3 linked regions of the Stegostoma tigrinum genome follow. The protein of the gene in region 2 interacts with the protein of the main gene of each other region in a pairwise test. Links are inferred from orthologs where the notes say so. Each region holds a gene or a part of one and is shown on either strand. Other genes may lie near its edges. The genes, in order: zc3h15, drg1 and rwdd1.

Evidence for each region.
Region 1: the proteins of drg1 (region 2) and zc3h15 interact in binary tests that used the Homo sapiens proteins (3 or more experiments, as listed by UniProt). The two-hybrid records come from large-scale screens. The link is inferred for Stegostoma tigrinum from reciprocal best matches to the Homo sapiens genes DRG1 and ZC3H15.
Region 3: the proteins of drg1 (region 2) and rwdd1 interact in binary tests that used the Homo sapiens proteins (3 or more experiments, as listed by UniProt). The two-hybrid records come from large-scale screens. The link is inferred for Stegostoma tigrinum from reciprocal best matches to the Homo sapiens genes DRG1 and RWDD1.

Annotation. Positions count from the first base shown.
Region 1 is NC_081360.1:39,409,468-39,417,224, forward strand, and holds the start of zc3h15 (zinc finger CCCH domain-containing protein 15), read right to left. Parts: upstream 3,101-7,757; 5' UTR 2,995-3,100; coding exon 2,923-2,994; intron 1-2,922. UniProt on the Homo sapiens protein: Protects DRG1 from proteolytic degradation. Stimulates DRG1 GTPase activity likely by increasing the affinity for the potassium ions.
Region 2 is NC_081379.1:46,784,337-46,791,736, reverse strand, and holds the start of drg1 (developmentally-regulated GTP-binding protein 1), read left to right. Parts: upstream 1-4,377; 5' UTR 4,378-4,449; coding exon 4,450-4,488; intron 4,489-7,400. UniProt on the Homo sapiens protein: Catalyzes the conversion of GTP to GDP through hydrolysis of the gamma-phosphate bond in GTP. Appears to have an intrinsic GTPase activity that is stimulated by ZC3H15/DFRP1 binding likely by increasing the affinity for the potassium ions.
Region 3 is NC_081357.1:57,080,700-57,088,535, forward strand, and holds the start of rwdd1 (RWD domain-containing protein 1), read right to left. Parts: upstream 3,082-7,836; 5' UTR 3,033-3,081; coding exon 2,894-3,032; intron 1-2,893. UniProt on the Homo sapiens protein: Protects DRG2 from proteolytic degradation.

The sequences.
Region 1 (7,757 bases), on a different chromosome or scaffold from region 2:
GATGCACACTGTCAGGTTCTGTCACCTTGCCAACTCTAGTAGCTTACTCAATACCACCAAGTGAATTAAGAGTTATGGGGAAAAGGCAGGAAAGTGGAGTTAGCGGTTATCAGATCACCTATGATCTTGTTGAACAGCAGAGCAGATGATGGGCTGAATAGCCTACTTCTGCTCCAAAATCTTGCTATCTTAATAGCAACAGCTACAAGATCGTACAATCCCTATAGTGTGGAAGGAGGCCAGTCTAACCCTAACACTAAAACTATCACAGTTAGTGCATCAAATCAACACAACCATCTAACAGCATCTGACTCAGACCACCTCCGCCACCTTATCTCAGTAACCCTGCATGGCGAAGGCACCTAGACTGCACATCCCTGGACACTATGGGCAATTTAGCATGGCCCCAATCCACTTAGCCTGCACATCTTTGGAGTGTGGGAGGAAACCAGGGCACCCGGAGGTAACCTATGCAGATGTCTGGAGAACATGTAAACTCCACAGACAGTCGCTCAAGGCTGAAATCAAACCTGTATTCCTGGCCCTGTGATGCAGCAGAACTAACCACCGGGCCACCGATTTTTTGCTCTGAATATTCAGAGCTAATATCTTAGCTTTAAATACTTTTTCCTCCAATGCCATTTCAGTCATTAATGCATTATCACATTTGCTAAGTTCTGTTTCTTCCCAATTCATTCACCAGTTTTTTTCCACATCACTTTCTCAACAGCCTTAGCTTTTCTCTTCCATTCTCAAGAGTCACATCAAACTCGAACCATTAACGATTTCTCTCCCCCCAGTTGTTGTCAGACCTGAGCTACTCTTGTACTTGGTTTTTATTTTAGCTTTCCTCTCATCGCTTTTGAATTGACACATCCTATATCTCTACATTACCATCTGAAAAGTCACTATATAACAAAGAACGTCTGCCCAATCATTGTAGATAGATAATAGTACCAAACTGATGCATTGTTTTTATTTAGCAGCTGTTAGAATCTAACAATTGCCATGGATCAATTTGTAGTGATCTCACCTGAGTTAGAAAGTTGTGAGTTCAAGTCCCACTCCAGAGGTTTGAGCTCAAATCTAGATGCACACTCCAGTGCAGTACTGAAGGGGTGCTGCACTGTCAGAGGTACCGTCATTCAGACGGGATGTTAAACCGTGGTTCCAAGTGTTCTTTCAGAAGGATGTAAAGATCCAATGGCACTATTCTGAAGAAGAGCAGGGGAGTTATCCCCAATGTCCAGTCTAATACACATCTCTCAATCAATATTACTACAGATTACATCTTCATAATGTTATTGGAGGGAGTTTGTATGCACAAATTGGAGTGATTTTTCCTATATTAGTGACTAATTAAAATTACTTAATTGGTGATAAAACATTGCGATTGTGAAAGCCACTAAGTATTATTTAGATGCAAACAGGGAGTAAACAATTGTGGAGCACAGACAGAAGAGAGATTCAATTAAAGTCTGATCTACCATGATTCCACCGAATGGTGGATCATGCTCAAAGGACCAAATAGCAGACACCTGCTCCTTTGTTTCTCAACTGATTTATACTGCCTACAAGGTGCAGAATTAATGTTTGCAAGTAGCAGGCCATTCAGCACATCTGGTGCAGGATAGCATTCGTGCTCAAGTTAAACATGTTACCATCTACTCTGACCTAAAACCATAACTATCCTTTCTCCGTAATGTGCTTGCCTTTTTTCCCTTAAATATATCAATACTATTTCCTTCACTCACTGTGGTAGTTGGTTCTGCATTTAAATACCCATTAGGAAAAGTAGTTCCTCCTGAAGCCTCTACTGGATTTCTTGAAGAATCTTGTATATTGCTGGCCTCTTGTTACGCTCTTCCCATGAGGTAACATTCTCTCTATACGCAGTATCCAAATTTTATGTTTTGAAAAGTATTTACCCAGTCTTCATTTTCATGAGGAGATATACTGCCAAAAATGTCTTGATTTAGTCTGATAGTTATTTTAGATCACACCTTACATTAGACCATAATACTAAAGTAGCTACAATTTTTAATACAGAAATTGTAACAGTGTTAATTCTACAATCAAACAGAGATATAATACAGGGTTAGCATTTCAAGTCAATGATGAAAGGTCAATAAATTGAAACATTAGCTGTCCAGTTTTCCTCAAACTGCCAAATCTGAACATTTCCAGCATTTTCTATTTCTTCAGGTGCTCAGCACTTCCAGGATCTTGCTTTTGAAATTAATGACATAATACTGTCTTTCGCAAACTACCCCAAGTGTTTTGAATTATACAACCTTAAAACCACATGACCCCAGGAAAAAGACCACCCCCCCCCGAAGCCATCGTTAACAGGTACTGTGAACTGACACGAAAGCAGGTCGAAATAGGAAAAAAAAAACAGAAAACGCTGCAAATATGCGGTGGGTCGGACAACATCCGTGGAGATGGAGGAAGGAAATCAAGAGTTAACATTTACGGCCAGTGGGCTGTCATCAGAATTGTAAACCGACAGGTGGGTTTTTGCTAAAAGAGGCAGCTCACTGTAGCCTGTGGTGGGAGGAACAGTATTTCAATCTCCAACACATGCCTCCTTGCCATACCTACAGAGCCATCACTCACTCGCACTCTCTCTCTCTCACACACACACACACACACACACACACAGGACCCACAACACACGAGTTAACAGGGTCATTAAACTCCGCACAGAACAGCCAGACTGGAGAAGAGAGAAAAAACGGAAACAGGAATATATACACAACTTGAAACTCAAATCGGGGCCTTCTCCTCCCAGAACCCCTCCGTTCCCCACTGCGGCCGAGGGGGTGGCCACACGCTCGGCCCGGCCCGGCCTGGCCTGTCCCTGTCGGCGCCGCGGGAGCAGAGGTCGGATCGCGCAATGCCGATGCCTCCCCAACTCACCTCGATGACCTTCTCTTTTTTCTTCTGCTCAGTCTTTTTGCTGGGTTGACTCGAGGATTTCTTGGGCGGCATCGCAGCCTGAATCAGTGTCCGCTCGCCCTGCTCCCACAGCCGGCCTCAGAATTGGGCCCCGGTCCCCACAACGCCGACGGCGCCCCCGCACTGAATTGTGGGTGATCTCAGCTGACCACCTCCGCGCACGCGCGGACACCACGGCAACCACAATGGGAGAGGGCGGGGCCTCGCTGATCATCCCGCGCCGGAACTCCGACCGCTCCGATGACAGCCCGCGCATGTTTGGGGGGTATCCGGCATCTGGGGGCGAACAATCCCGCACGTGGGGGCGTATCCCGCACCTGGGTGGTATTCTGGAACTAGGGCGTAGCCCTCTCCTGTGGTTGGGGGTATCCCGCACAAGGTGAGATTCCTGTACCTGGGGGAATTCTGTACCTGGGGGAATCCCGCACCAGGTGAGAATTCTGTACCTGGGGGAATCCCGCACCAGGTGAGAATTCTGTACCTGGGGGAATTCTGTACCTGGGGGAATCCCGCACCAGGTGAGAATTCTGTACCTGGGGGAATCCCGCACCAGGTGAGAATTCTGTACCTGGGGGAATCCCGCACCAGGTGAGAATTCTGTACCTGGGGGAATTCTGTACCTGGGGGAATCCCGCACCAGGTGAGAATTCTGTACCTGGGGGAATCCTGCACCAGGTGAGAATCCTGCACCTGGGGGAATTCTGTACCTGGGGGAATCCCGCACCAGGTGAGAATTCTGTACCTGGGGGAATCCCGCACCAGGTGAGAATCCTGCACCTGGGGGAATTCTGTACCTGGGGGAATCCCGCACCAGGTGAGAATTCTGTACCTGGGGGAATCCGGCACCAGGTGAGAATCCTGTACCTGGGGGAATCCCGCACCAGGTGAGAATCCTGCACTTGGGGGAATTCTGTACCTGGGGAAACCTGCACCAGGTGAGAATCCTGCACTTGGGGGAATTCTGTACCTGGGGGAATCCCGCACCCGGTGAGAATCCTGCACTTGGGAGAATTCTGTACCTGGGGGAACCCCGCACCGGGGGTGGGAGGGGAATTCTGTACCTGGGGGAAATCCCGCACCAGGTGAGAATCCTGCACCTGGGGGAATCCTGCATCTGGGGGAATCCTGCACCCGGTGAGAATCCTGCACTTGGGAGAATTCTGTACCTGGGGGAACTCCGCACCGGGGGTGGGGGGGGAATTCTGTACCTGGGGGAAATCCCGCACCAGGTGAGAATCCTGCACCTGGGGGAATCCTGCACCTGGGGGAATTCTGTACCGGGGGAAATCCCGCACCAGGTGAGAATCCTGCACCTGGGGGAACTCCGCACCGGGGGTGGGGGGTGGAATTCTGTACCTGGGGGAAATCCCGCACCAGGTGAGAATCCTGCACCTGGGGGAATCCTGCACCTGGGGGAATTCTGTACCGGGGGAAATCCCGCACCAGGTGAGAATCCTGCACCTGGGGGAATCCCGCACGAGGTGAAAATCTTGCACCTGGGGGAATCCGCACCAGGTGGGAAATCTGCACCTGGGGCAATCCTGTACCTGGGACAATCCAGCACCAGATGAAAATCCTCCACCTGGGGGAATCCTGTACCTGGGGGAATCTGCACCAGGTGAGAATTCTGCACCTGGGGCAATCCTGTACCTGGGGGAATCCTGCACCAGGTGAGAATCCTGTACCTGGGGGAATCCTACACTGTGTGAGAATCCTGCGTCCGGGTGGAATCCCGTACCCAGGGGAATCCCACACCTGGGGTATCCTGCACTGGGTGGAAATCCTGTTCATTGGAGATTCACACGCTTTGTGGTATTCCACCCCTGTTTGTGAGTCCTATACCCGGGCGTATCCCATCCTGAATAAGGAACCAGCACGACAACAATCCTGTGCCAGGTGAGAATCCCACCATGGATAAGAATCCATCACCTTGGGGAGTCTCACCGGTGTAAGTATCACATATTACAAATTCCACCTGGTATAAAGCCCTCCTAATGTGTATACTGTCTGGGTTAAATACTGTCATGTGTGAGTCTGACCTGGGGAAATTACTGCCTTCGTTAATACCACCAGGTATAAATCTCTGGTGTTAATGTACCAGGTGTAAATATGATCCACTGTATAAATATTTCACATCATAAATGTACCTAGTGTAAAACCTCTTCATTGTGAATACTGCCCAGTGAAAATCCCAGGACATCTAAATCCTGCCCGGTAATAAATCCTGCCCAATGTAAATATCGCTGAGTGTAAATACAATCAACTCTAAATACAGTACCACTAAGTTGGAGTGTAGCCCACAGTAAATACCATGTGCTAAAAATACTTCCTGATGTGATACCTGGTGTAAACTTCTCCAGCTTCATTGCTGTTCGTGTGTAAGTACAGCAGAGGACAAATATCACTTGGTGTATATCCTACCAGCAATAAACATCTCATGCTGTAAATTCTGCACAGTGTAAATCCACCATGTAAGCATTTCACCTGCTGTGAATATGACCTGGTATTAATGCTGCCCAGTGTAAATCTCACCTGACATATATCACTCCCAGTGTAAATATCACCTGGAGTAAATACAGCCTGGAGTCAGTCATATCTGAAGTAAGTACCACTTGGTGTACTTCACTGTTCGTGCAAAGGCTGTCTTGTGTAAATACTACCCAGCATAATTACTACCCAACGTCAGTGCCGCTAGATGCAAATACTGTCAGTTGTAAATTCTGCCTAGTTTAAATACCATTTGACATAATAATACCTAATGTTAATACTGAGAGATATGAATACCATCCCACCAGATGTAAACACCACTTAGTGCGATTATGAGCATGTTTGACTAAGCACAAGGTAAACATGTTCAGTATCGATACCGCTCAGTGTAAATACCACTTGGTGTAAATACTCTCTGTCACAAGTGTTCCAGGTATAAATACCAACAGATGCATATACTGCCTTGTGTAAATATGGCAGCAAAAATACCACCCACTGTAAACCCCACTCAGTTTAAATATGAGCCTATATAAGTACTGCCTGGTGAAAATGCTGCTTGGTGTAAAGATGGCCCACTGTAAATCCTGCCGGGTGTAAAACACATTGAAGTAAATCTCACTCTGTGTAAAACTTGGTGGAGTAAATCCCACGCAGTGTAAATACCACCCAGTGTATATGTGGTCTGCTGTAACTCTAGCCCAGTGTAAAACCTAGTGGAATAAATCATACCCACTGTCGATCTCATCCTGTGTAAAACCTTTTGAAGTCAGTCCCACCCATTGTAAGTGTCACACAGTCTAAGCCTTGCCCAGTATAAAATATGGTGGAGTAAATCCTATAGTGTAAATACAATCCAGAGTAAATACCAGCCAATGTAAACCTGCCAGTTAAACTCCAGTGAAGTAAAGATAATAAAGTGTGGAGCTGGATGAACACAGCAGGCCAAGCAGCATCTCAGGAGCACAAAAGCTGACGTTTCGGGCCTAAACCCTTCATCAGAGAGGGGGATGGGGAGAGGGTTCTGGAATAAATAGGGAGAGAGGGGGAGGGGGACCGAAGATGGAGAGAAAAGAAGATAGTTGGAGAGAGTATAGGTGGGGAGGTAGGGAGGGGATAGGTCAGTCCAGGGAAGACGGACAAGTCAAGGAGGTGGGATGAGGTTAGTAGGCAGGAAATGGAGGTGCAGCTTGGGGTGGGAGGAAGGGATGGGTGAGAGGAAGAACAGGTTAGGGAGGCAGAGACAGGTTGGACTGGTTTTGGGATGCAGTGTGGGGGGGGCAAGAGCTGGGCTGGTTGTGTGGTGCAGTGGGGGGAGGGGACGAACCGGGCTGATTTTGGGATGCGGTGGGGGAAGGGGAGATTTTGAAGCTGGTGAAGTCCACATTGATACCATTGGGCTGCAGGGTTCCCAAGTGGAATATGAGTTGCTGTTCCTGCAACCTTCAGGTGGCATCATTGTGGCACTGCAGGAGGCCCATGATGGACATGTCATCTAAAGAATGGGAGGGGGAGTGGAAATGGTTCGCCACTGGGAGGGGCAGTTGTTTATTGCAAACCGAGTGGAGGTGTTCTGCAAAGCGGTCCCCAAGCCTCCGCTTGGCTTCCCCAATGTAGAGGAAGCCACACCGGGTACAATGGATACAGTATACCACATTGGCAGATGCGCAGCTGAACCTCTGCTTAATATGGAAAGTCGTCTTGGGGCCTGATAGGGGTGAGGGAGGAGGTGTGGGGGCAAGTGTAGCATTTCCTGAGGTTGCAGGGGCAGGTGCCGGGTGTGGTGGAGTTGGAGGGCAGTGTGGAGTGAACAAGGGAGTCACGGAGAGAGTGGTCTCTCTGGAAAGCAGACAAGGGTGGGGATGGAAAAATGTCTTAGGTGGTGGGGTCGGATTGTAGATGGCGGAAGTGTCGGAGGATGATGCGTTGTATCCGGAGGTTGGTGGGGTGCGGTGTGAGAACGAGGGGGATCCTCTTCGAACAGTTGTGGCGGGGGCGGGGTGTGTGGGATGTGTTGCGGGAAATGCGGCAGACGCGGTCAAGGGCGTTCCCGACCACTGCGGGGAGAAAGGTGCGGTCCTTGAAGAACTTGGACATCTGGGATGTGCGGGAGTGGAATGCCTCATCGTGGGAGCAGATGCGGCGGAGGAATTGGGAATAGAGGATGGAATTTTTGCAGGAGGGTGGGTGGGAGGAGGTGTATTCTAGGTAGCTGTGGGAGTTGGTGGGCTTGAAATGGACATCAGTTCCAAGCTGGTTGCCTGAGATGGAGACTGAGAGGTCCAGGAAGGTGAGAGATGTGCTGGAGATGG
Region 2 (7,400 bases):
GAAGCTGAGATGATTGACGTCCAACAACCATGACCATCTTCCGACGTGTCAGATATGACTCCAACCACCGGAGCGTTTGCCCCCGATACCCATTGACTCCAGTTATGCTAGGGCTCCTTGATGCCACACCCAGTTGAATGCAGCCCTGATGTCAATACTGTCACTCTCATCTCACTTCTGGGATTCAGCTCTTTTGTCCATGTTTGAACCAAGGCTGTAATGAGATCAAGAACTGAGTGGCACTGGTGGAACCCAAACTGGGCATCACTGGGCAAGTTCTTGCTGAGCAGGTGCTGCTTGCTAGTCCTGTTGATGACAACTTCCATCACTTTATTGATAATTGAGAGTAGGCTGATGGGGTGGTAATTGGCCAGGTTGAATTTATCCTGCTTTTTATGTACAGGACATACTTAAGCAATTTTCCATTGTCAGATAAATATCAGTATTATAACTGTACTGGCGCAGCTTGGCTAGGGGAGCGGCAAGTTCTGGACCACACGTCTTCAGTACTGTTGCTGGAATGTGTTCAAGACATGTCTTTGCCATACCCAGTGTCTCCAACCATCTCTTTTTACCACATGAAGTGAATAGAATTGGCAGAAGACCAGTAATGCTGGGGACTACTGGAGGAGGCCAAGATGGATCATCCACTTGGCATTTCCAGCTGAAGACTGCTGTGAAAGCTTCAGCCTTATCTTTCGCACTGATGTGCTGGGCTCTTCCATCATTGAGTATGGGGATATTTGTGGTGCCTCCTCCTCCAGTGAGTTGTTTAACTGTCTACCAACATTCACGACTGGATGTAGCACGACTGCAGAGCTTAGATCTGATCCATTGGTTGTGGGATTGCATAGCTCTATCTATCACACTCTGCTTATGCTGTTTGGATTCCAAGTAGTCCTGTTTGGTGGCTTCACCAGGTATGCCTGGTCCTGCTCCTAGCATTGCCTCCTGCAGTCTTGTACTAAACCAGGGTTGATCCTCTGGCTTGATGGTAATATTTCAGGGGGGATATGCCAGGTTTTGAGGTCACAGATTGTGCTTGAGTACAATTCTGCTGCTGTTGATTGTCCACAATACCTCATGGATACCCAGTCTTAAGGTGCTAGATCTGTGCAAAGTCTGTCCCATTTAGTATGGTGATAGTGCCACTCAACACAATGGAAGTTATTTTCAATGTGAAGGTGGGATTTTGTCTCCACAAGGACTGTGCAGTGGTCACTCTTACTGATACTGTCTTTGACAGATGGAATTGCAACTGGCATTTTGGTAAAAATGAGGGCAAGTATGGTTTTCCCTCGTGTGGTTCCGTCTTCACCTGCTGCATACTCAGTCTAGCGGCTATGTTGTTTAGGACCTCACCAGCTCAATCATTATTACTGCTGCTGAGCCACACTCAGTGGTGGACATTGAAATTCCCCACCCAAAGTACATTTTGTGCCCTTGCCATTCTCAGTGCTTCCTCCAAGTGTTGTTGGAGGAGCACTGTTTCATCAGCTGAGGGAGAACGTTATGCAGTAATCAGCAGGTTTTCTTGCCCGTGTTTAACCTGAAGCCATGAGACTTCATAGGGTCTGCAGTCAATGTTGAGGACTCCCAAAGCAATTCTCTCCCACTGTGTCGCCACCTCTGCTGTGTCTGTCCTACCAGTGAGACAGGACATATTCAGGGATGGTGATGGTGGTGTCTGGGACATTGTCTGTAAGGTATAATTCTGTGAGTATTCTTCTAGTTATGATGTTGCCGATATGGTAATCTTATGTATGTGGAATTTCAGGAATCCCAGCGTGTCTACTGACCAGTAAGGTTTGAAGCTGCAATAGCTTTGAAAAAAGTTTTTCAGTAATCCACAATTTACTTTGATAGCCATGGTTGACAGACATTTTTCAGTTTGTGTGCTTTGAAGGTATATGTCAATAGTGTAAATTAAGAGATAGCTCTTTAAAGGTTATCTATTTCTAATGTACTGTCATATCCTTGAATGTAATTTGTCAATCCATTTCAGCCAATTTGCTGCTCAGAATTTAATTATATCCTTTGTTCAGACTTCCACCCACCTTCAGATTGAACTACCTTATTTTCAAACATTATATTACACATTTCTAAAGATTAATTTACAAGAATATTAATTAGCCATTATTCATAATACTAGATCTAAAATGGTTCATTCTCTCGTCAATTTCTCAACATATCGCACTAGAAAACCATAATGCTCTTCAGGAACTCATTCTTCACAGCATTATTGCACATTAGGTCTACCCAGTCTATATGTAGATTGAAGTCTCCAATGCTTACCGTATTCATCACGCTGGGGAATGTTTCTTTAATTTCTGGATTAATAATGAGGTCCACACTATTGTTTCATGGCCTAGGAACCAGTCCTTTCAATGTATGGTGCCCCCTTGATGTTTCTTAATTTCATCCAAACAGATTCTACATTTTAAAAAAAACTGAGAGCTGCATATGCTACAAATCAGAAATAAAAACAGAAGTTGCTGGAAAAGCTCAGCAGCCTGGCAGCATCTGAGAAGAGAAATCAGAGTTAACATTTCGGGTCTGGTGACCCTGCCTTAGATTCCACATTTTGTTCTACTGATTTGACATCCTCCCTTACTAATGTACTGATCCCATCCCTTATTATCAATGTAACACTACATCCTTTTCCTTTTTGCCTGTCTTTCCTAAATATCAAATATCCTTGAATATTCAATTCCCTAGTTTTGGTTATCATGCAGCTTGGTTTCCCTAATGGTAATTAGATCATACCCATTTTCCTCCATTTGTGCGTTGCAATCACCTACTTTGTTACAAATGCGTTGTGCATTTCAAGTTGAGTGCTCGACTTTGTTTTTGACATTATTTTGCATTCTAAGTTTAGTTGATGCTCACAATCTTTCGCCTGTCTCCTGATTTTACTTATCACATATCTACTTCCTATTGCCAGCTACACTGCTTCCAATTTGAGCTGCAAATCTCTCTGTGAAGATATCAGTCCAGGTCTTGTAAAAGTATAACCTGCCCAACATTCCATCCATCCCAAAACTTGTCTTATTGTTTCAAAAATCTGATCAACTCCTCCTCCACCAATTCTTCAGTTATGTGTTCAATTGATCAATCCTCCTATTCCTATGATCACTACCAGCTAGCATTGGGAGTATTCTGAGATTACTACTCGAGGTCTTGATTTTTAATTTCCTTACAAACTCTCCAGAATCTACTTTCTGGACTGCGTCGCTCCTCCTATCTTGGTCACTGGTACATATGTGGACCATGACCTCTGGCTGGTCATCCACCCCAGAAGGATATCTTACATTTTGTGACATTATTGACCCTGGCACCAGGAGGCAACACACCACCTTAAATTTCTTTACTGCCATGTAAATGCCTGTCTGATCCCCTGACCATGAAATAATCTATCGCTATTGATTTTTGACTCTTTTCCCCTTTCTTTATCTCCAGTGGTGCCAGGGTGGACTCGGGGGACCTCCACACCACTTGCCTATCTTCAACAATTTCATTTCAGCTTCTATGAACCTAACCTGCAATGTGATTACCTCCCTGAATATACTATCTACGTAATTCTCTGCCCTTTGAATGCACAAAAGTGACTCTAGCCATTACTTGCATTCTTGTCCATGGAGCTCAAATTTGCAGTTGGTAACGTTTCTTGCAGATGGGAAAAATGGGATACGTATAGCTGAGTTGACGTACCACTCCGTAACTTTTAAACTACGTATTCGTTCGAATGTGCCGAGTAACTTACCAGTTACTCATCAAACAGCTTCTTTCTGTGTACCAAAGAACCAATTACTGAATGTCTAACAACATACTGAGAAAAAAAATCTCCTCCACCTCTACCACGAAGTCCCTAAAATCACCGAGATCCCAGCTGCATCGAAAATTAGATGAAATGTGACGGAGGGAAGTCCTTTCTAAAATTATTTTCAACGGACCTGTTGGGACATGAGATGATACATATCCATGGAACAAGAGCCAGACCTATGGACACTGCCAATGGCCCTTAAGGTTTATCATGCTCTCTAAAAATCAAGTAAATTGAAACCTCTGAAAACTAGGTTTAACACACCACTTCGTTAAATGGACGGACCTACTCTGAGAGAGCTGAGATACCCCTAATTTAAGGTCGGAACAAAAGATTGACTTCTTTAAATCTATAGAGTAATTCTTAGTTAACTGCTAAAGTGATGTTTGTTGACATCTCCTTGTTGTTCCGTGCTCCTATGCAAACACTCTAAACTGAGGTGTACGACTCGGCATTGCCTCAACGGCCGTTTCAACCGTTAATAACGAACAGCCGCGCGCTGCACTGGGCGGGCGGTGAGGCAATGCGCAGGCGCAGTGGCGCTTTCCCCGCCCAATCCCGCGGAGTGGTCGGTCTCGCGAGGCTGTCTGACTTGGACAGGGTTCATCCGGCTGTGGTTGTTCGACATGAGTATCCTTCAGAAAATCTCGGAGATTGAGGCCGAGGTAATTAGCAGGTCGAGAATCAGAATGTTCGCGTATGGGACACACGACACCGGGGTGGGGAATGGTGAAAGAGGTGATACCAATTGGGGGCGGGGGAAAAGAAGGGATGCAGATGGACAGTGGGTGGCAGGGAGGTAGAGGCCACTCGCCCCCCACCCACACTCGGCACTTCCCCCGTCACATCCCCTCGTCGTCACCCACCACCCCCCCCCCCACTACATTTTGGAAAAACGAAGAAAGACAAAAGTGGGGCCTTGGGCAGTGTTGTAAAACAGAGGGACCCAGGCACAGTTGTTTAAGATAATAAAATGTGAGGCTGGATGAACACAGCAGGCCAAGCAGCATCTCAGGAGCACAAAAGCTGACGTTTCGGGCCTAGACCCTTCATCAGAGAGGGGGATGGGGGGAGGGAACTGGAATAAATAGGGAGAGAGGGGGAGGCGGACCGAAGATGGAGAGTAAAGAAGATAGGTGGAGAGGGTGTAGGTGGGGAGGTAGGGAGGGGATAGGTCAGTCCAGGGAAGACGGACAGGTCAAGGAGGTGGGATGAGGTTAGTAGGTAGCTGGGGGTGCGGCTTGGGGTGGGAGGAAGGGATGGGTGAGAGGAAGAACCGGTTAGGGAGGCAGAGACAGGTTGGACTGGTTTTGGGATGCAGTGGGTGGGGGGGAAGAGCTGGGCTGGTTGTGTGGTGCAGTGGGGGGAGGGGATGAACTGGGCTGGTTGAGGGATGCAGTGGGGGAAGGGGAGATTTTGAAACTGGTGAAGTCCACATTGATACCATATGGCTGCAGGGTTCCCAGGCGGAATATGAGTTGCTGTTCCTGCAACCTTCGGGTGGCATCATTGTGGCAGTGCAGGAGGCCCATGATGGACATGTCATCAAGAGAATGGGAGGGGGAGTGGAAATGGTTTGCGACTGGGAGGTGCAGTTGTTTGTTGCGAACTGAGCGGAGGTGTTCTGCAAAGCGGTCCCCAAGCCTCCGCTTGGTTTCCCCAATGTAGAGAAAGCCGCACCGGGTACAGTGGATGCAGTATACCACATTGGCAGATGTGCAGGTGAACCTCTGCTTAATGTGGAATGTCATCTTGGGGCCTGGGATGGGGGTGAGGGAGGAGGTGTGGGGACAAGTGTAGCATTTCCTGCGGTTGCAGGGGAAGGTGCCGGGTGTGGTGGGGTTGGAGGGCAGTGTGGAGCGAACAAGGGAGTCACGGAGAGAGTGGTCTCTCCGGAAAGCAGACAGGGGTGGGGATGGAAAAATGTCTTGGGTGGTGGGGTCGGATTGTAAATGGCGGAAGTGTCGGAGGATAATGCGTTGTATCCGGAGGTTGGTAGGGTGGTGTGTGAGAACGAGGGGGATCCTCTTGGGGCGGTTGTGGCGGGGGCGGGGTGTGAGGGATGTGTCGCGGGAAATGCGGGAGACGCGGTCAAGGGCGTTCTCGATCACCGTGGGGGGGAAGTTGCGGTCCTTAAAGAACTTGGACATCTGGGATGTGCGGGAGTGGAATGTCTTATCGTGGGAGCAGATGCGGCGGAGGCGGAGGAATTGGGAATAGGGGATGGAATTTTTGCAGGAGGGTGGGTGGGAGGAGGTGTATTCTAGGTAGCTGTGGGAGTCGGTGGGCTTGTAATGGACATCAGTTACAAGCTGGTTGCCTGAGATGGAGACTGAGAGGTCCAGGAAGGTGAGGGATGTGCTGGAGATGGCCCAGGTGAACTGAAGGTTGGGGTGGAAGGTGTTGGTGAAGTGGATGAACTGTTCGAGCTCCTCTGGGGAGCAAGAGGCGGCGCCGATACAGTCATCAATGTACCGGAGGAAGAGGTGGGGTTTGGGGCCTGTGTAGGTGCGGAAGATGGACTGTTCCACGTAACCTACAAAGAGGCAGGCATAGCTGGGGCCCATGCGGGTGCCCATGGCCACCCCCTTAGTCTGTAGGAAGTGGGAGGAGTCAAAAGAGAAGTTGTTGAGTGTGAGGACGAGTTCCGCTAGGCGGATGAGAGTGTCGGTGGAGGGGGCCTGGTCGGGCCTGCGGGACAGGAAGAAGCGGAGGGCCTTGAGGCCATCTCCATGCGGAATGCAGGTGTACAGGGACTGGACGTCCTCCAGTCCCTGTACACCTGCATTCCGCATCCAGTCCCTGTACACCTGCATTCCGCATGGAGATGGCCTCAAGGCCCTCCGCTTCTTCCTGTCCCGCAGGCCCGACCAGGCCCCCTCCACCGACACTCTCATCCGCCTAGCGGAACTCGTCCTCACACTCAACAACTTCTCTTTTGACTCCTCCCACTTCCTACAGACTAAGGGGGTGGCCATGGGCACCCGCATGGGCCCCAGCTATGCCTGCCTCTTTGTAGGTTACGTGGAACAGTCCATCTTCCGCACCTACACAGGCCCCAAACCCCACCTCTTCCTCCGGTACATTGATGACTGTATCGGCGCCGCCTCTTGCTCCCCAGAGGAGCTCGAACAGTTCATCCACTTCACCAACACCTTCCACCCCAACCTTCAGTTCACCTGGGCCATCTCCAGCACATCCCTCACCTTCCTGGACCTCTCAGTCTCCATCTCAGGCAACCAGCTTGTAACTGATGTCCATTACAAGCCCACCGACTCCCACAGCTACCTAGAATACACCTCCTCCCACCCACCCTCCTGCAAAAATTCCATCCCCTATTCCCAATTCCTCCGCCTCCGCCGCATCTGCTCCCACGATAAGACATTCCGCTCCCGCACATCCCAGATGTCCAAGTTCTTTAAGGACCGCAACTTCCCCCCCACGGTGATTGAGAACGCCCTTGACCGCGTCTCCCGCATTTCCCGCGACACATCCCTCACACCCCGCCCCCGCCACAACCGCCCCAAGAGGATCCCCCTCGTTCTCACACACCACCCTACCAACCTCCGGATACAAC
Region 3 (7,836 bases), on a different chromosome or scaffold from region 2:
GGGGGCAGGGTGTGAGGGATGAGGTGCGTGGAAAGCGGGAGACACTGTTGAGGGCGTGCTCTACCACTGCGGGGTGGTGGGATGGGGGTCGGGGTGGGTGAGTTGCGGTCCTTGAAGAACGAGGATATCTGGGATGTGCGGGAGTGGAATGCCTCATCTTGGGAGCTGATGCGGCGGAGGCGAAGGAATTGGGAATATGCGATGGAATTTTTGCAGGTAGGTGGGTGGGACGAGGTGTATTCCAGGTAACTGTGGGAGTCGGTGGGCTTGAAATGGACATCGGTTTGGAGGTGGTTGCCTGAGATGGAGACAGAAAGGTCCAGGAAGGTGAGGGATGTGTTGGAGATGGCCAGGTGAACTGAAGGTTGGGGTGGAAGGTGTTTGAGCTCTTCTTGGGAGCATGAGGCGGCGCCGATACAGTCATCAATGTAGCAGCGGAAGAGGTGGGGGTTAGGGTCCCACAGACCCAACCAGTCCCCCTCCACCGACACCCTCATCCACCTAGCCGAACTCGTCTTCACCCTCAACTTCACTGTCGATTCCTCCCACTTCCTACAGACAAAGGGGGTGGCCCAAGCTATGCCTGCCTTTTTGTAGGTTATGTGGAACAGTCCCTCTTTTGCACCTATACTGGCCCAAAACCCCACCTCTTCCTCCATTACCTTGATGACTGTATCGGCGCCGTCTCGTGCTCCCAACACCACCTCGCAGCCACATTCCTGCAAAAATTCCATCCCGTATTCCCAATTCCTTCACCTCTGCCGCATCTGCTCTCAGGATGAGGCATTCCATTCCTGCACATCCCAGATGTCGTCGTTCTTCAAGGACCGCAACTTCCCCTTTCCAGTGGTCAAGCACGCCCTGAACCGTATCACCCGCATCTCATCCCTCACACCCCGCCCCCGCAATAACCGCCAAAAGAGAATCCCCCTAGTCCTCACATACCACCCCACTAACCTCCAGACACAACGCATCATCCTCCGATACTTCCGCCATCTACAATCTGACCCCACCACGAAAGACATTTTCCATCCCCACCCTTGTCTGCCTTCTGGAGTGACCACTCTCTCCGCGACTGCCTTGTCTGCCTCACACTCCCCTCCAACCCCACCAAACCCATTACTTACCCCTGCAACCGCTGGAAGTGCTACACCTGCCCCCACAGCTCCTCCCTCACCCCCATCCCAAACCCCAAAATGACTTTCCACATCAAGCAGATGTTCACCTGCACATCCGCCAATGTGGTATACTGTATCCACTGTACATGGTGTGGCTTCCTCTACATTGGGGAAACCAAGCGGAGGCTCGGCGACTGCTTTGCAGAACACCTACCCTTGGTTCGCAATAAACAACTGCACCTCCCAGTTGTGAACATTTCAAGTTCCACCCCCCCCACCCATTCCCTAGCCGACATGTCCATCCTGGGCCTCCTGCAGTGCCATAATGATGCCACCCGAAGGTTGCAGGAACAGCAACTCATATTCCGCTTGGAACCCTGCAGCCCAATGGTATCAATGTGGATTTCACCAGCTTCAAAATCTCCCCTCCCCACCACTGCATCCCAAAACCAGCCCAGCTCGTCCCCGCCTCCCTAACCTGTTCTTCCTCTCACCTATCCCCTCCTCCCACCTCAAGCCGCACCTCCATTTCCTACCTACTAACCTCATCCTATCCCGTTGACATGTCCGTCCTCCTTGGACTGACCTATCCCCTCCCTACCTCCCCACACATACTCTCCTCTCCACCTATCTTCTCCTCTATCCATCTTCGGTCTGCCTCCCCCTCTCCCCCTATTTATTTCAGAATCCTCCCTCCAACCCCCTTTTCTGATGAAGGGTCTAGGCCCGAAACGTCAGCTTTTGTGCTCCTAAGATGCTGCTTGGCCTGCTGTGTTCATCCAGCCCCACACTTTGTTAACAAATAAAAGTATTGTATCTTGACAGTAATGCCTGTGCCTCTGAATCAGAAGCTTCGGATCAATTCCTACTGTAGCATCATTGCCCACAGAAAGTGTGTTTATGATGCAGCCAAACAGTTTGACAATCCATCCAACTCAAGCCAAAGCCGATCAAGCTGGAGAGATGCTTGGTCAGCCATGCATGATGAGGCATGCAGCACCTAAAATTTCTCTGTCAGAGATGCCTGAGGGCTTGTCACCAGGCCCAAAATGTTAACTCTGACTTCTCTTCACAGATGCTGCCAGACCTGCTGAGCTTTTCCAGTTTTTGGTTCTGATTTACAGCATCCACTGTTCTTTTGGTTTTTATGCTCAGCACCTAACGGTTTAAGGTTAATTATAGACAGGAAAGCACAGATTCCAGATGAGAACTTAAAAAAGGCAGAGGTGAAGACTAATGAAGAGGGAATAGAACATCCCACTGTTAAATAAGCTATTTTGTTTTCAGATATTTAAATCCTATTCACTACGAAGTTTGATTCTGCTGCCCCCCTATTTTGTTTCGCATCAGAATATACTTACTCATTGCTTCAACATTCCATACGCCTTACAATTTCACACGTGGGGACAAATCAATGAAACTAAATCCCGCACATTTTTATTGACAGGGCTAATTCTTGATTGTTATAATATCAATACAGATGTTCCCAAGTACCAAGGATGATGATCATCCAATCCCTCACCCGTGGACGGCTTTGAGAAGATGCGGAACTAACGACACGTGACACGTAACCAGACTGTTTACCTACCACATTCTGACGGTTTCAGATGCCAGTAGCTCCCAAACCGGCCACAGCGAAGCCCTCCCCTCCCCTCCGGCTGCCAGCCTCTTCCCATCTCCCGTGGCCCAGTGGCAGAACCCGGCCCATGGCCCATGGCCCGGCCCCGGCCCCTCTCCTTAGCGGAGGGCCCTCGGCCCGAACAGAGGCCTCTCACCTGTGAACGAGTCCGGATAAATGGACTCCAGTGCCTCCAGCTCATTGCGCTGCTCCTCGATGTAATCGGTCATGTTGAACGACTGAGAAACGCCATTAAGATAAAGGGCGACACCGACCGACAAGCCCGCTCTGCACATGCGCTCCCCTCCTCCACCGGTCTCCCTCCTCCCCGAGAGAGGCTCGGTTTGCGCGCGCGCAGAGCCCGTGTGTTGGCTAACAAGGGCCGAGTCCTCCCAGGTGAGGGCGGAGGAGCTCGAAGGACTGAGAGACGGGGTTCTTCTTGTCGATGCCTCGTTATTGGCGGCGTGTCGGTTCGGAGGTGGGACGCTTGCCTTCATTCGTGTCTCAGTAGGTTTATGTGTCTGTTAGCGGTTATTAGGCTAAATTCAGGAGTTATCATTCAGGCAGAACATTTAAAAATTACAATATTTTGCTGAAACAATGGATTGCGATCTCTTTGAGGAAAAACAGCGATTCCCATCCTCTCCACTCCCCAAACTATACGATTTGTGCCCCGGTAGACCATGTATTTCCAGTGAAGTTAGGATTCTCCTGGATTATTAATGGAATTAGTTTCATAAATGGCCTACGTTTAGGTTTAAAGCCGCTTTGTGCACAGATGATGATACGGTCCTCTGTTTGGCACCCGCTGTTGAGAGGACAGACTGGTTATCATCTGCGATCCAGTTTGACCTGGTCTCGGAAGCGACGGAGAATTGAGGCAAGAGGGGTTACTCGTGCTTCCACGAGGAGCTTGAACAGTTCATCAACCTTACTGACACCTTTCACCTCAACCTCAGATTCACCTAGACCATCTCTAATACCTCCCCCTCCTTCCTGGGCCTTTCCGTCTCCGTCTCTGGTGACCGCCTCGAAACCAAGATCAATTTTAAGCCCACCAACTCCTGTAGCTACGTAGACTACACCTCCTGTCACCCACCTTCCTGCAAGAATGCGATCCCTTCCTCCCAATTCTTTCACCTCCGCCGCATCTGCTCCCAAGATGGAGCATACCACTCCCGGACATCGCTGATGACCTCCTATTTCAAGGACTACACCATACTCCGCTGGTGATCAGAAATGCCCTCTACTGTATCTCTTGCATTTCCCACACCTCTGCTATTGCATCTGCTCTCCCCAATGAAAGTAAAGACAGAATACACCTTGTCCTCACATATCACACCAAAGACTCCATATCCAATGTATTATTTTCTGCCACTCCCATCACCGACAATCCGACCCCACAACCAAAGGTATATTTCCTCCTCACCCTATCTGCCTTTTATCGGCACCGCTGTCTCTGCGACTCCCTTGTCCGCTCCACGCTCCCCACTAGCCCCACCACCACTGACACCTTTCCTTGCAACTTCAGGAAGTGATACACCTGCCCCTACACCTCTCTCCTCAGCTCCGTTCAAGGCACAAAAGTAACCTACATTAGACAGAAGTTCACCTGCACATCTGTCATGGTCTGCTGCATCCACTGCTCCCAATGTGGCGGCCTCTACATTAATGAGACCAAGCCGAGGCTCGGAAACTGTTTTGTAGAGTATCTGCATTGTGTTCATTCTGGGCCTCCTCCAGTGCCACAATGACACCACCCAGAAACTGGAGGAGCAGCACCTCATTTTCCACCTTGGGAGCCTACAGCCCAATGTCTTAAATGTGGTTTTTACCACTTTCAAAATCTCCCCACCCTCAGCCACATCCCATGATCAACCCTCCCTGTCACCCTGCCTCCTTAACCTGACACAACCTGTCCATCTTCTCTTCCACCTATCTGCCCCCATCTCACTGACTAATCTGCACCACTGCCTACCTGCAATTACCTATTGCCATCCCACCTACCTTCCTAAGCCCCACCTCTCCTCTCTCTATTCACTCTCTCTCCTCATTTCTGAAGAAGGGTTCCGATCCGAAATGTCAACGTTCCTGCTCCTCTGATGCTGCTTGGCCTGCTGTGTTCCTTCAGCTCCACACTGTGTCATCTCTAACTCCAGCATTTGCAGTTCTTACTATCGCTGAGGCAAGAGTACAGCCCTGTTCTTTTGGAACTGGATTTTGATTCCTTCATTGTTTGGATAGATTACCTGAACTCTCTGCATAAATGGTTCAGAGCAATCAGAGTATCTGCTAAAATTTGGATGAAGTGAATTGGTATGGTCAAACAAAAATGGCACATAGGAGCGACATTCTGTCTCCATTGCAGGTGAGAATCTGGCCATTGGATGCAGGGTGCTCTTGGTGATGCTGTACATGGCAGCCATTTCATTTTCTACATTATTTGAAGCTTGGAAAAGGACTACATTTGGAAGGGCATAAACTTCAAGATAAAAGTGAAAAAAGTAACAGCATTGCCCCCTCATACTCATCTACTTTTTCTATGCAGTTGCATCAAACTATGCGTAATCCCTCAGTATATGAACACAAAATTTTATTATGTTCTGATGTTTTGCCTGGGGTGCTGCAAGCGATGGGTCCGTTCATATTGCCAAGGAATGCTACATTGCAACGTACCGTAGCATTGTAAACTTTTAGTGTAGAATTGTAGTGCGGGTTGTGGATGTTGTGGTTGGTTGGCTCACAGAGCTGGTTTGTTGTTCCGCAGATGTTTCATTACCCTGCTGGGTAACGTCATCAATGCAGCGTCCGATGAAGTGCTTTTTATTTTCCTGCCTGCTAGTTAAACTCTGGTGCCTGTTGAGTTGGGTTACGTCACTTCCAGATTTGCTTCACAGTGGAGGAGAACTAGGGTCTAGCTCTGTGTTTTTGTTGATCGCCTTCTTAGTGGACAATCAGGACTGTAGAAATTCCTGCGCTTGTCTCTACTTGACCTGTCCCAGGATCCTGGAGTTGTCCCAATCAAACTGGTGGTTTTTCTTATCCATGTGATTGGTGATGAGTGAGTATTGGCTGTGTCTTTTTGTTGCCAGTTGATGTTCGTCTACTCTTGTGGCTAATTTTCTTCCTGTCTGACCAATGTAATGTTTGTCACAGTCTTTGCAGGAAATCTTGTATATGACGTTGTTCGCGTATCCACAACTGGCTCAGAAGATGTCTATTACACGAGTGACAACAGGAAGATACTGCACGCCCCAACACATTCGTCACGCTATGTTACATCAAAAACACATCTGAACTGACCACAAAACTCCTATGACCACTGGGCATTGCAGTTGTACACAAACTCACATCAACCCTACGCCAACTAATAATCCGAACCAAGACCCGTTACCCACGCTTGGTTTCCCCAACGTAGAGTAAGCCATACCAGGTACAGCAGATGCAGTATACCATATTGGCGGATGTGCAGGTGAACATCTGCTTGATGTGGAAAGTCATTTTGGGGCCTGGGATGGGGGTGAGTGAGGAGGTGTGGCGGCAGGTATAGCACATCCTGTGGTTGCAGGGGAAAGTGCAGGGTGTGGTGGGGTTGGAGGGGAGTGTGGAGCGGACAAGGGAGTTGTGGAGAGAGTGGTCTCTCTGGAAGGCAGATAAGAGTGGGGTTGGAAAAATGCCTTTAGTGGTGGGTTTGGATTGTAGATGGTGGAAGTTTCGGAGGCTGATGCATTGTATCCGGAGGTTGGTGGGGTGGCATGTGAGGAATAAGGGGATTCTCTTTTGGTGGTTATTGTGGGGGCGGGGTGTGAGGGATGAGGTGCGGGAAATGCGGGAGACACGGTCGAGGGCGTTCTTGACCACTGCAGGGGGGAAGTTGCGGTACTTGAAGAACGAGGACATCTGGGATGTATGGGAGTGGAATGCCTCATCCTGGAAGCAGATGTGGTGGAGGCGAAGGAATTGGGAATAGGGGATGGAATTTTTGCAGGAAGGTGGGTGGGAGGAGGTGTATTCCAGGTAACCATGGGAGTCGGTGGGCTTGAAATGGACATCGGTTTGTAGGTGGTAGCCTGAGATGGAGACAGAAAGTTCCAGGAAGGTGAGGGATGTGTTGGAGATGGTCCAAGTGAACTTAAGGTTGGGGTGGAAGGTGTTGGTGAAGTGGATCAACTGTTCGAGCTCCTCTTGGGACTATGAGGCGGCACCGATGCATTCATCAATGTAACGGAGGAAGAGATGGGGTTTCGGGCCAGTGTAGGTGCGGAAAAGGGACCGTTCCGCGTAACCTACAAGGAGGCAGGTATAGCTTGGGCCCATGTAGGTACCCATGGCCACCCCCTTTGTCTGTAGGAAGTGGGAGGAATCGAAAGAGAAGTTGTTGAGGGTGAGGACGAGTTCGGCTAGGTGGATGAGGGTGTCGGTGGAGGGGGACTGGTCGGGCCTGCTGGACAGGAAGAAGTGGAGGGCCTTGAGGCCATCTGCATGGGGAATGCAGGTGTATAGGGACTGGATGTCCATGGTGAAAATGAGGTGTTGGGGACCGGTGAATTGGAAATTCTGGAGGAGGTGGAGGGCTAACCTGCATTCCCCATGCAGAAGGCCTAAAGGCCCTCCGCTCCTTCCTGTCCCGCAGACCTGACCAGTCCCTCTCCACCGACACCCTCATCCACCTCGCCGAACTCGTCCTCACCCTCGACAACTTCTCTTTCGATTCCTCCCACTTCCTACGGACAAAGTGGGTGGCCATGGGTACCCACATGGGCCCAAGCGAAACCTGCCTCTTTGTAGGTTATGTGGAACAGTCCCTATTTCGCACCCTCCACCGACACCCTCATCCACCTAGCCGAACTTGTCCTCACCCTCGACAACTTCTCTTTCGATTCCTCCCACTTCCTACAGACAAAGGGGGTGGCCATGGGTACCCACATGGGCCCAAGCTATACCAGCCTCCTTGTAGGTTACGTGGAACAGTCCCTTTTCCGCACCTACACTGGCCCTAAACCCTACCTCTTCCTCTGTTACATTGATGACTGTATCGGCGCCGCCTCATCCTTCCTAGAGGAGCTCGAACAGTTGATCCACTTCACCGACACCGTCCAT